Linked DNA regions of Mus musculus. The protein of the gene in region 1 purifies or fractionates together with the protein of each later gene. This does not show direct contact. Links are inferred from orthologs where the notes say so. Each region holds a gene or a part of one and is shown on either strand. Other genes may lie near its edges. The genes, in order: Pfdn2 and Pfdn1.

Evidence for each region.
Region 2: the proteins of Pfdn2 (region 1) and Pfdn1 purify together in Homo sapiens (affinity purification with mass spectrometry; 5 studies listed by BioGRID and IntAct, counting the BioPlex papers as one, with this or other methods). This does not show direct contact. The link is inferred for Mus musculus from reciprocal best matches to the Homo sapiens genes PFDN2 and PFDN1.

Annotation. Positions count from the first base shown.
Region 1 is NC_000067.6:171,344,131-171,348,590, forward strand, and holds the start of Pfdn2 (prefoldin subunit 2), read left to right. Parts: upstream 1-1,544; 5' UTR 1,545-1,581; coding exon 1,582-1,656; intron 1,657-4,460. Other genes in the region: Nit1 (deaminated glutathione amidase), read right to left, coding at 1-37, 158-409, 784-870, 1,438-1,439. UniProt on the Homo sapiens protein: Binds specifically to cytosolic chaperonin (c-CPN) and transfers target proteins to it. Binds to nascent polypeptide chain and promotes folding in an environment in which there are many competing pathways for nonnative proteins.
Region 2 is NC_000084.6:36,447,836-36,451,644, forward strand, and holds part of Pfdn1 (prefoldin subunit 1), read right to left. Parts: intron 3,412-3,809; coding exon 3,245-3,411; intron 1-3,244. UniProt on the Homo sapiens protein: Binds specifically to cytosolic chaperonin (c-CPN) and transfers target proteins to it. Binds to nascent polypeptide chain and promotes folding in an environment in which there are many competing pathways for nonnative proteins.

The DNA.
Region 1 (4,460 bases):
GTGGAAACCGCCCAAGGACAGCCAGATTCCACATTCCCTGGGGGGGGGGGGGGACACGACACACACAACTCTACCCCCTCTGTGGCAATCCAGGAACACTGCTCAACAGGGAGTTCTACACACACAACCCCCCCCCCCCCAAACCCTACCCTTGTACCTGGCAAGCTGGCTATATTGGCCCAAAAGATCCCCATTCAGTGGTTCGGACAGGAGTAATGTCTCGGCAGGGTTTCGTGCAATAAAGTCAAATGCCTCAGGCAGAAAGGCCAGGCAAGCACCCAGTCTGGCAGCCTCTTGAACCAACTCAGCACATGTTTTAAAGTTCTCTTGCTTGTTTGGTGTTGATGTTACCTGGCACACAGCCACCAGGGGCAGCTCCCAGGAAGTTGATGAGGACATGGTTCTGGGCCTGTGAATGACACAGGCAGTATCCTCAGATTTTCTATCTAGGAGAAACTCAGAGGCTCAAGTGGGGGTGGAGCCAGAAACTTTATTTTCTTTTGACTTTTTTCTTTTTTGAGACACGGTCTTTTGTAGCCCAGACAGGCCTTTCTATGTAACTGGGGATGACCTTAAACTCCTGGTTGATCCTCCTTTTTTTCGAGTGCTGGCATTACAGGTGACCCCAGCAACTTGTTTTCATTCTTACAGAGCATAATAACCCTAGAGCTACTGGAGTTCACTCATTACATGTTTGGAGATATCTTTGTCTCCCACTATGAAGTTAATAAACACGAACTAAGCAGCTATGCGCCAGAGAGAGAACATTACGAAATATGTTACCTGGGCTGAGTACAAAGTACTGGGGTTCGAAGTAATCGGTATCCGGTACACAGGAGTTGGTGAGGAGGCCTGGTGATGAAGCCCAGCCTGAAGAAGGTGAGAAATCAGGACACCTAACCCTCTTTCAAGCCGTAAGTTTCTAGAATTCTCTGCCATTTCCAGGCCTGGCCAGTAATCCCCTCCCCCAAGGCTTCGAAAATACTTTTTACTACTAGTAGCTAGGAAAAGATATAAAATGGGAAAATGGGAGAGGCGACTATGATCGGTGCCTTAATACCTCAACTTCCAGTGATCTCACATTAAAACTGAAGCCCTTTTTCCTTTGCCAAACGTTTCCGCAGTTCAAGTCATCTCATGGAACCTTCCTCGTTTCCCCAATTCTCTTCTCGGCTGTGCCACCTGCACAGCTTTATAGACTCAACACGTATCTTTCCCCTTATACCCGAATCTCAGAAGGAAAGTTCACCCTCCCTAGATCTCCACCATCTCATGGTGGGTAGATGGGTACAGGACCAGATCCCAACCCGAGCCCCCGCCCTCTGATTAGCGCGTCCTTCCCCGCCTCTCCCCCCCGGGCAAGAATCTCTGTTGCACAAGTTAAAGCATCGCAGGTGGAATTCACCGCAGCGGGCAGGGTTTGGGAGTAGGTCCTACATGAAGACACAGCCAAAACCATTCACGGGGTCGGATCTCAAGAGCTGCCAGGAGCCAGGAGCGCAGGAGCAAGTGGGCGGTAACCCCCCGGCCGGATGTGACGCAGTGAGAGTGCGCAGGCCGGAAAGCTTGCAGGTGGGGAAGATGGCGGACAGCAGCGGTCGTGTGGGCAAGAGCGGCGGGAGCGGCGCGGGGAAGGGGGCGGTGTCGGCGGAACAGGTGAGGAGCCGCGAGCGCACAAGGCACCCGGGGCGGTGTCGAATTCGTGTAGAAGATAAGATTTGTGGCTCGAAGGGGCCTTTAGTCCTTTCCACGGTCTCCATGGGCACGCACGGGGGAGAGGGGGTCTCTGGAGGTGATCACGAACCTTTCTAGAGCCTGGGTAGGTAGGGGAGAGGCACGCCCGCGGTGTGGGTGGGTAGTCAAGGGAGAAAGCCCTGAGCTGCAGGGTCTGGGAGGGTTGGCCAGGTCTCTGAGAAGATGGATCGTAGTTTGCCCCCTCTCCGAGGTACCCTAAAGAGCGTATGGTGTTTGGCGTGGCATCTAGTAACGAATTCCAAGCTGTTCTTAGTCAGTGAGTGGCTTATGTAGTTCATGGCTCAAAAACCGTGTTCACCATCACCAACACGCTGCAGAGCCACGTGACTCAGACTCTGAGCAGTTTAGTGTTCCGTAAATTATTTTGACTAAGGAGTCTGTGGTTTGTTTGTTTGTTTGTTTTGTCTTGGAGGTGGGGATGAGGGTTGCTATAGGGTCGGGTCCGGCCTTGGCTTTTCCGGAATTCACTTTGTAGACCAAACTGGCCTGGAAGATCCGCTTGCCTCTGCCTCCCACATACTGCGATTAAAGGCTCGGATTATTTCGTCTTTGAGACACGGTCTTACTAAGTGGCCTACGCTGGCCTCGAGCTTGCTCGGTGTGCTCTCTTTGCAAAGATTGACTTCGGAAGAGGGCAGAACCCACCCCCCACCCCCTCTCTCTTTCTCTTTCTCTCTTTCTCTCTTTCTCTCTCTCTCTCTCTCTCTCTCTCTCTCTCTCTCTCTCTCTCTCTCTCTCTTTCTTTCTTTCTTTCTTTCTTTCTTTCTTTCTTTCTTTCTTTCTTTCTTTCATGTGTGAGTACACTGTAGCTGTCTTCAGACACTCCAGAAGATGGAGTCCGATCTCATTACGGATGGTTGTGAGCCACCATGTGGTTGCTGGGATTTGAACTTTGGAAGAGCAGTCGGTGCTCTTAACAGCTGAGCCATCTCACCAGCCCCAGAAGAGTAATTTTAATCATAGGTACATTTGTCAGTTGGTTGTTGAACAATTCCTACAGGTAAAAGCATCAGCATAAAGAGTCTAAAACCCACACTGTCAAAGAGTTAGAAAGTAAGTGTTCAGGGAGAACTGAAGTGCAGGGGAATTCTGGAGATGGAAGAGGGTGTAGCCTCTGACATAGTGGGAAGGAAAAAATGCTAATGCTTTGGAGAGTCCGTCTTGTGTTTGGCTTTGCTTAACCCAGAGGAACAGGTAAATGAAATAGACCTTGTCTTAAACTTGGTCACAGCCAAGTGTGGTGGCCCATACCCATAATCCCCCTGGATTACCCTGTCAGTTCCAGGCTAGCCTGGGTTACAGAGTAAAACACAGTCTCAAAAACAAAACAATGAGACTTTATGTGTGTTTGCATGTGTATGTGCATATACCACATGTGTGCAGGAGCCCTCAGAGACCAGAAGAGTGGTCAAAACCTCTGATAACTGCCTATTAGCTACCATGAGGGTGCTGAGAACCAAACCCAGGTCCTCCGCTATAAAAGTAATCGTTCTTCCACCGAGCCATTTCTCCAACCCTACACTACAAACTTCTGCACATAATGAACTTTTCTTGCACAGTTTGGAGAGAGAGTCCAAAGTAGTGTAGATTTCGGATGTGGCAGGTAAGTAGGCAAGGGAATGGCGGGTAGTGGAATGGTTGGGAGGGTTTCCTGGCCTAGAATCAGAATGACCTGTGCTTGCTTTGTATTTCTTATTTATATATGATTTCTCTTGTTACCTTTTACCCTCGTCTATCTGTAAAAGCACAGTAGTTTTCCATTTCGTAACTAGAGTACTAGGCAAGAAAATCCATTTGGGTTTTGTTTTGTTTTGTTTTTTTCCACCATGACTAAATACAGAGACTACATAGTGTGTTTAACAAATGCTACTTAGAGCTGGAGAGATGGCCTCTGCACTCGAGCACCTGATCTCGCACAGACAGACACACTTGCACGCACATAATCTGAACAGTCTTTCTAAATGCTAATTTCCTTTTATTTTCTAGATTTTTTGGCTTAATTCTAAAGGCTGGGAAAAGTTAGTCATGTGAAGATTTTTTTTCGTTAGAAGTAGTGTGTTCAAAAGCATTGAGCCATGAACTGCTTGGCATTGAAAATGCTGGAGAATTTAAAGAGATATATTGCAAGACCTAAAGAGATACAGTCAACTTTGTTCTTTGACACAGGGTTTTTCACGTGGCCTAGAACTCACCAGGTAGGCTAGGATGGCTGACCAGAGAGTCCATTGATCCTCCCTTTCCTCAGCACTGGGAAAACAAGCCTCAGAATTTAAGTTCACTAGCATTCCAGTGCCAGGCAGTTCATGCCTCAGTACCATGCCTGCCTGCCTGCCTGCCTTTTTTTTCCCTCCTCCTCCTCCTCCTCCTCCTCCTCTTCCTCCTCCTCTTCTTTTTTCTCCTCCTCCTCCTCCTCTTCCTTCTTAAAAAGTGTGTTCTGGGGCTCAAACCCTGGTTCTTTGGCTCTTTACCTGTGAAATTTTCTTCCCAGCCCAATTTAAGGTTTATTACTGATGTGTGTGTTAGCCTAGTGTGTCTCTCACAAGGAAAATAGGAGCAGGTAATACTTCGTACTAGGTGCTTGTTTTATTTTCTGTTCTTTATCATTTATTGGTTTACTATTGTTGTTTTGTCTGAGATAGGCTCTCCCTCTGGAACTTGCTGTGTAGACCGTGCTACTTTAGGCCTTGCTATTCTTGGCTTTGTGA
Region 2 (3,809 bases), on another chromosome or scaffold:
GTTGGGGAGATCCATGACACACTCGACACGCTCTGCTGACAGTCAAAACAAAGAGCCTTGGTATTGTTGAAGGAAAGATGGGTACATCTAGAAAACTTCCAAAGGCATCACAAGATCTAAGCCATATCTTGAAGGATGAGAATTTCACAAGGGAAAGAGAAATGCTGAAGGCCAAAAATGGAGTAACCAAAGATCCCCCCACACAAACAAACAAACAAAAACCCCCACAAAACATGACATGAAAAAAAAAAAAAACCAAAGAAGCAAAAACCATGTGGCAAGGGTAAAAATGTGTGGTGCGTGTGCTGGGTCTCTTTCCCGCCCTCCATGACAGACATCACGAATCAGCCAAAACATATTTAAAAACCATATAAAGTCTCAAAATCCTCCTGAACAGATAAAACAAAAACAAGGACCACGGGATGAGATGTCTGTGCTACTCTAAATCTACGAGCAGGAAGCTGCAGGACCTGAGGCTGGATGGGTCAATTAAAAACGAAGTATCTGACCATGAGTGTGAGGCTAACAAGAGTAGATTTTCCCTTATAAGGACTGAGGATAATAAGCAAAGGGTCTGTGAGGGATGATTGGTTCTGGCATGGTGAAGAATGGATGTGAGCAGGCCTGGGAGTAGAAAGAACAAGTGAGCAAAAATTCAGGCTAGGCTGGGCTACATGAAACCTATTCTACCAAAAAAAAAAAAAAAAGAGGAATGTTGCTAATTGTGGGTCAAAAGAAAAGTAGAAAAATCTACTGCAGACTCGAAAACAAAACAGGGTTTTGGATTTTAAAATCTTGTTTCAAAATATAAACTATGGGGTAAAGTCACATGGTCAGAATTCTCACGTAGTACTTAAAAGGGAAGGGAAAGGCTGGAATAACAATGAGACTCCTCCAGATTACTCAAGACCATAAACTCAGAAGGAGGCATTCCAGGGTTAGCATCTAGAGAGGCAACATCCTCATGACCAGACTGGCACTCAGCAAGTCTCTCCAGCCCCGCGGCACCAATCCTCTGTCTGGCCAAGTGACAGAAGCATTTCACCTCACATGCCCTACAATGCAGGGCAAGCTCACGCTGAACCAAGTGCAGAACTCAAAGCTCCTTTTAAAACCAAGGCTCATCCAAAACTCTAAAACTGCACATTTCTCTTAAGAAACATAATTTATATAAAATAATACCATTCTACCATTAAGTACCCATATGTAAGCCTTTAAACTCTGTAATACTTTGCATGAACTACAATCTACTTGTAGAATTTTGGACAATATGAAAAAAGAAAACTAACTCCCACAACTTATGCACAATGCTTACTAAATGTCATTATTCTAAAGAAATATAAAACTTTAGGGATGGGGGTGCAGCTTAGTGGCTGAAGACTTGTCTGGCATGCTCAAAGCCCTAGGTTTGATTCTTAAAATCAAACATAAAACAATTAAAATTTAAAACTTTTTGAAAATTGAGAACATTATTTTCAATGAAGTACACAGAGTAACCCTAGCCCTTGGAAGATGGAAGGTCAGATGGGCAAGGTCTCTGAGAAGCTAGCAGGAAGCTAGCCTGGGCCACGTGAATCCCCATCTCATAAATCAACAAAGCGTTGGGGGTCAGGGGGAGCGCTACATATAATCCCAGCACTCAGGACGCAGAGGCAGGTGGTGGTTCCCTTTGAGTTCAAGGCCAGCTTGGAAAAAACAAACAAATCAATCACAAACAAAAACTTTATAACTTTAGCTATTATAAACAAAGGCTAAAGTAATGGTGTGAATTCCAAGTAATAGGCTGGCATCACTGTTTTAAGACCCAAGGATACTCAAATTAAGGGATGAAAATTACCCTGCAGTGAATGCCAACATTTCCTGCTACGTGACACACAATCAAGGGTTCTACTTGGTTCCCATTCTGTTCTGTACCATTAACAACCTCACAAACTGGAGCTAATACTGAACAGCACCTGTAATCCCCGCCCTTGGTGACGTGAGGCAGGAGGACAGAAGTTCAGTCACCCTCTGCTACACAGAGTTGGAGGCCAGACTGAGAAACAGAACATCTCAAAATTAAAAACAAGAACTCACAAAAGGGGCTCTCGTTCTCTTAAAATAAGACCAAATGAAAAACATGTGAACTGAAGAGAAAATATCTGCGGTTCCAACCTTTACCATCACTCCTCAGCAGAAAGAATAAATTAGTCACGGGAAGGGTCACCTTGTCATGATGTCATTCTAAAGTCATTACAGAACTCTACACATGTTATGCTTCCTCCCAGTCAATCACAAAAGAAGTCATCCCAAGACGGAGGTCAAATTCCATTCTAACTAAAAGCTCTCCAAACTTAAAGGCCCACCTAGTCCATAACATCCAAAGGCCAAACACAGAGCCCCTCCCCTCCACCTTAAAGACAATCAGCTCTTCCCCATTAGCTAACTGAAATGGAATGTGGCCCGTACACAAGGGCTTTCCCAGTCTTCATGTTCTCAGAAAACATAAAGACGACTTGATCTCTCTCATGAGAAGAATATGTTTTTGATAGAAAGAATGTAACGTGAGTGGTTAATTATGTCAACAAACAGGGCTTTTCAGCCCCTTCCCTGCTCACTAGCCCATGCCCACTCTCAGGAGTGCTCTTCCTTTCTCAATAACCTGTCTCTATTTCCACTCCTTTAGAATGCTTTAAAATAAAGCATTAATAGATTATATTGATAATTAGTACAAAGCATAAATTAGTGGGCATCTGCACTCACTCACAAAGACCAACACACAGCCATACCATGCATACATAGTCAATGAAAAATATTTTTGAAAGGGGAGTGGCTGGAGAGAGCTTTCAGCAGTTAAAGATTCTAGCTGCTCCTGCAGAAAGAGGACCCAAGTGCAGTTGCCAGCACCGATATCACGAGGCTCAGAAGCACCTACGTCTGGGCCCAAGAGATCTAACATTTCCATGGGCATGGGCATGGGCATGGGCAGGGTGGGGTGGGGTGGGCAGGGAAGTCTCAGGCACAGGCACACATACCCATGCCCCGACAGAGAGTGAGAGAGAGTGAAAAACATAAAATTTTAAAACACACACCTGGGGTTTTATGCCTTTTTTTTTTTTAAAGATAGCTTTTGCAAGTTATTTCTCTATTTTAACCCAAGTTTTCTTTTTTAAGTAACCCAATTTGAAAATAAACCATTCTGCCATTTAATTCCCCTGAAGCCTCTCCTAAGAGAGCCCCGTGAAGGGTGCGCTGATTTACTCACATTCTTCCTACACCTTCGTACATGTTAGTCTCATCTACCAGCGTCATGATCTCCGTGTCCGTAAGGTGTGCGTGCTTTTTCGTTCTGTTCAGCTGTTCAATCTGTATGTCTGCAAGCTTCACCTTCTGTTGAGTATCGATAACTTTGGCTTGAAGCTCTGTGAAGGCCTGAGAAAAACAAGTGCTTGATTTAGGAAATTAAACTTTCAAGTCAAATTTAGATTTGTTAAAACAGATCATGCTAACTTGACAAAGCTGTAAGATTTACCAAGATAAGCATAGATAAAAGTCAACAGAATGATCACACTATGCAAATTCTAAATGTACCCTATTCATTGACCCTATCCATAGACCGCATGACCAATATGAACACAAAAACAAATGTGCATTAAAAAAAAAAAAAGCCATATTTATCAAGTAGCCAGAGAGTAATAAAAGGGATAAATAAAATACTCAGGAGATAAACCCAGAGACCCAAAGCAGGAAACAACGTACTACATCTGCATTGCATAACTAGAATCCAAAACACCCACGTTATTTCAAAATCCTGGCTGTAGAGCCAGACC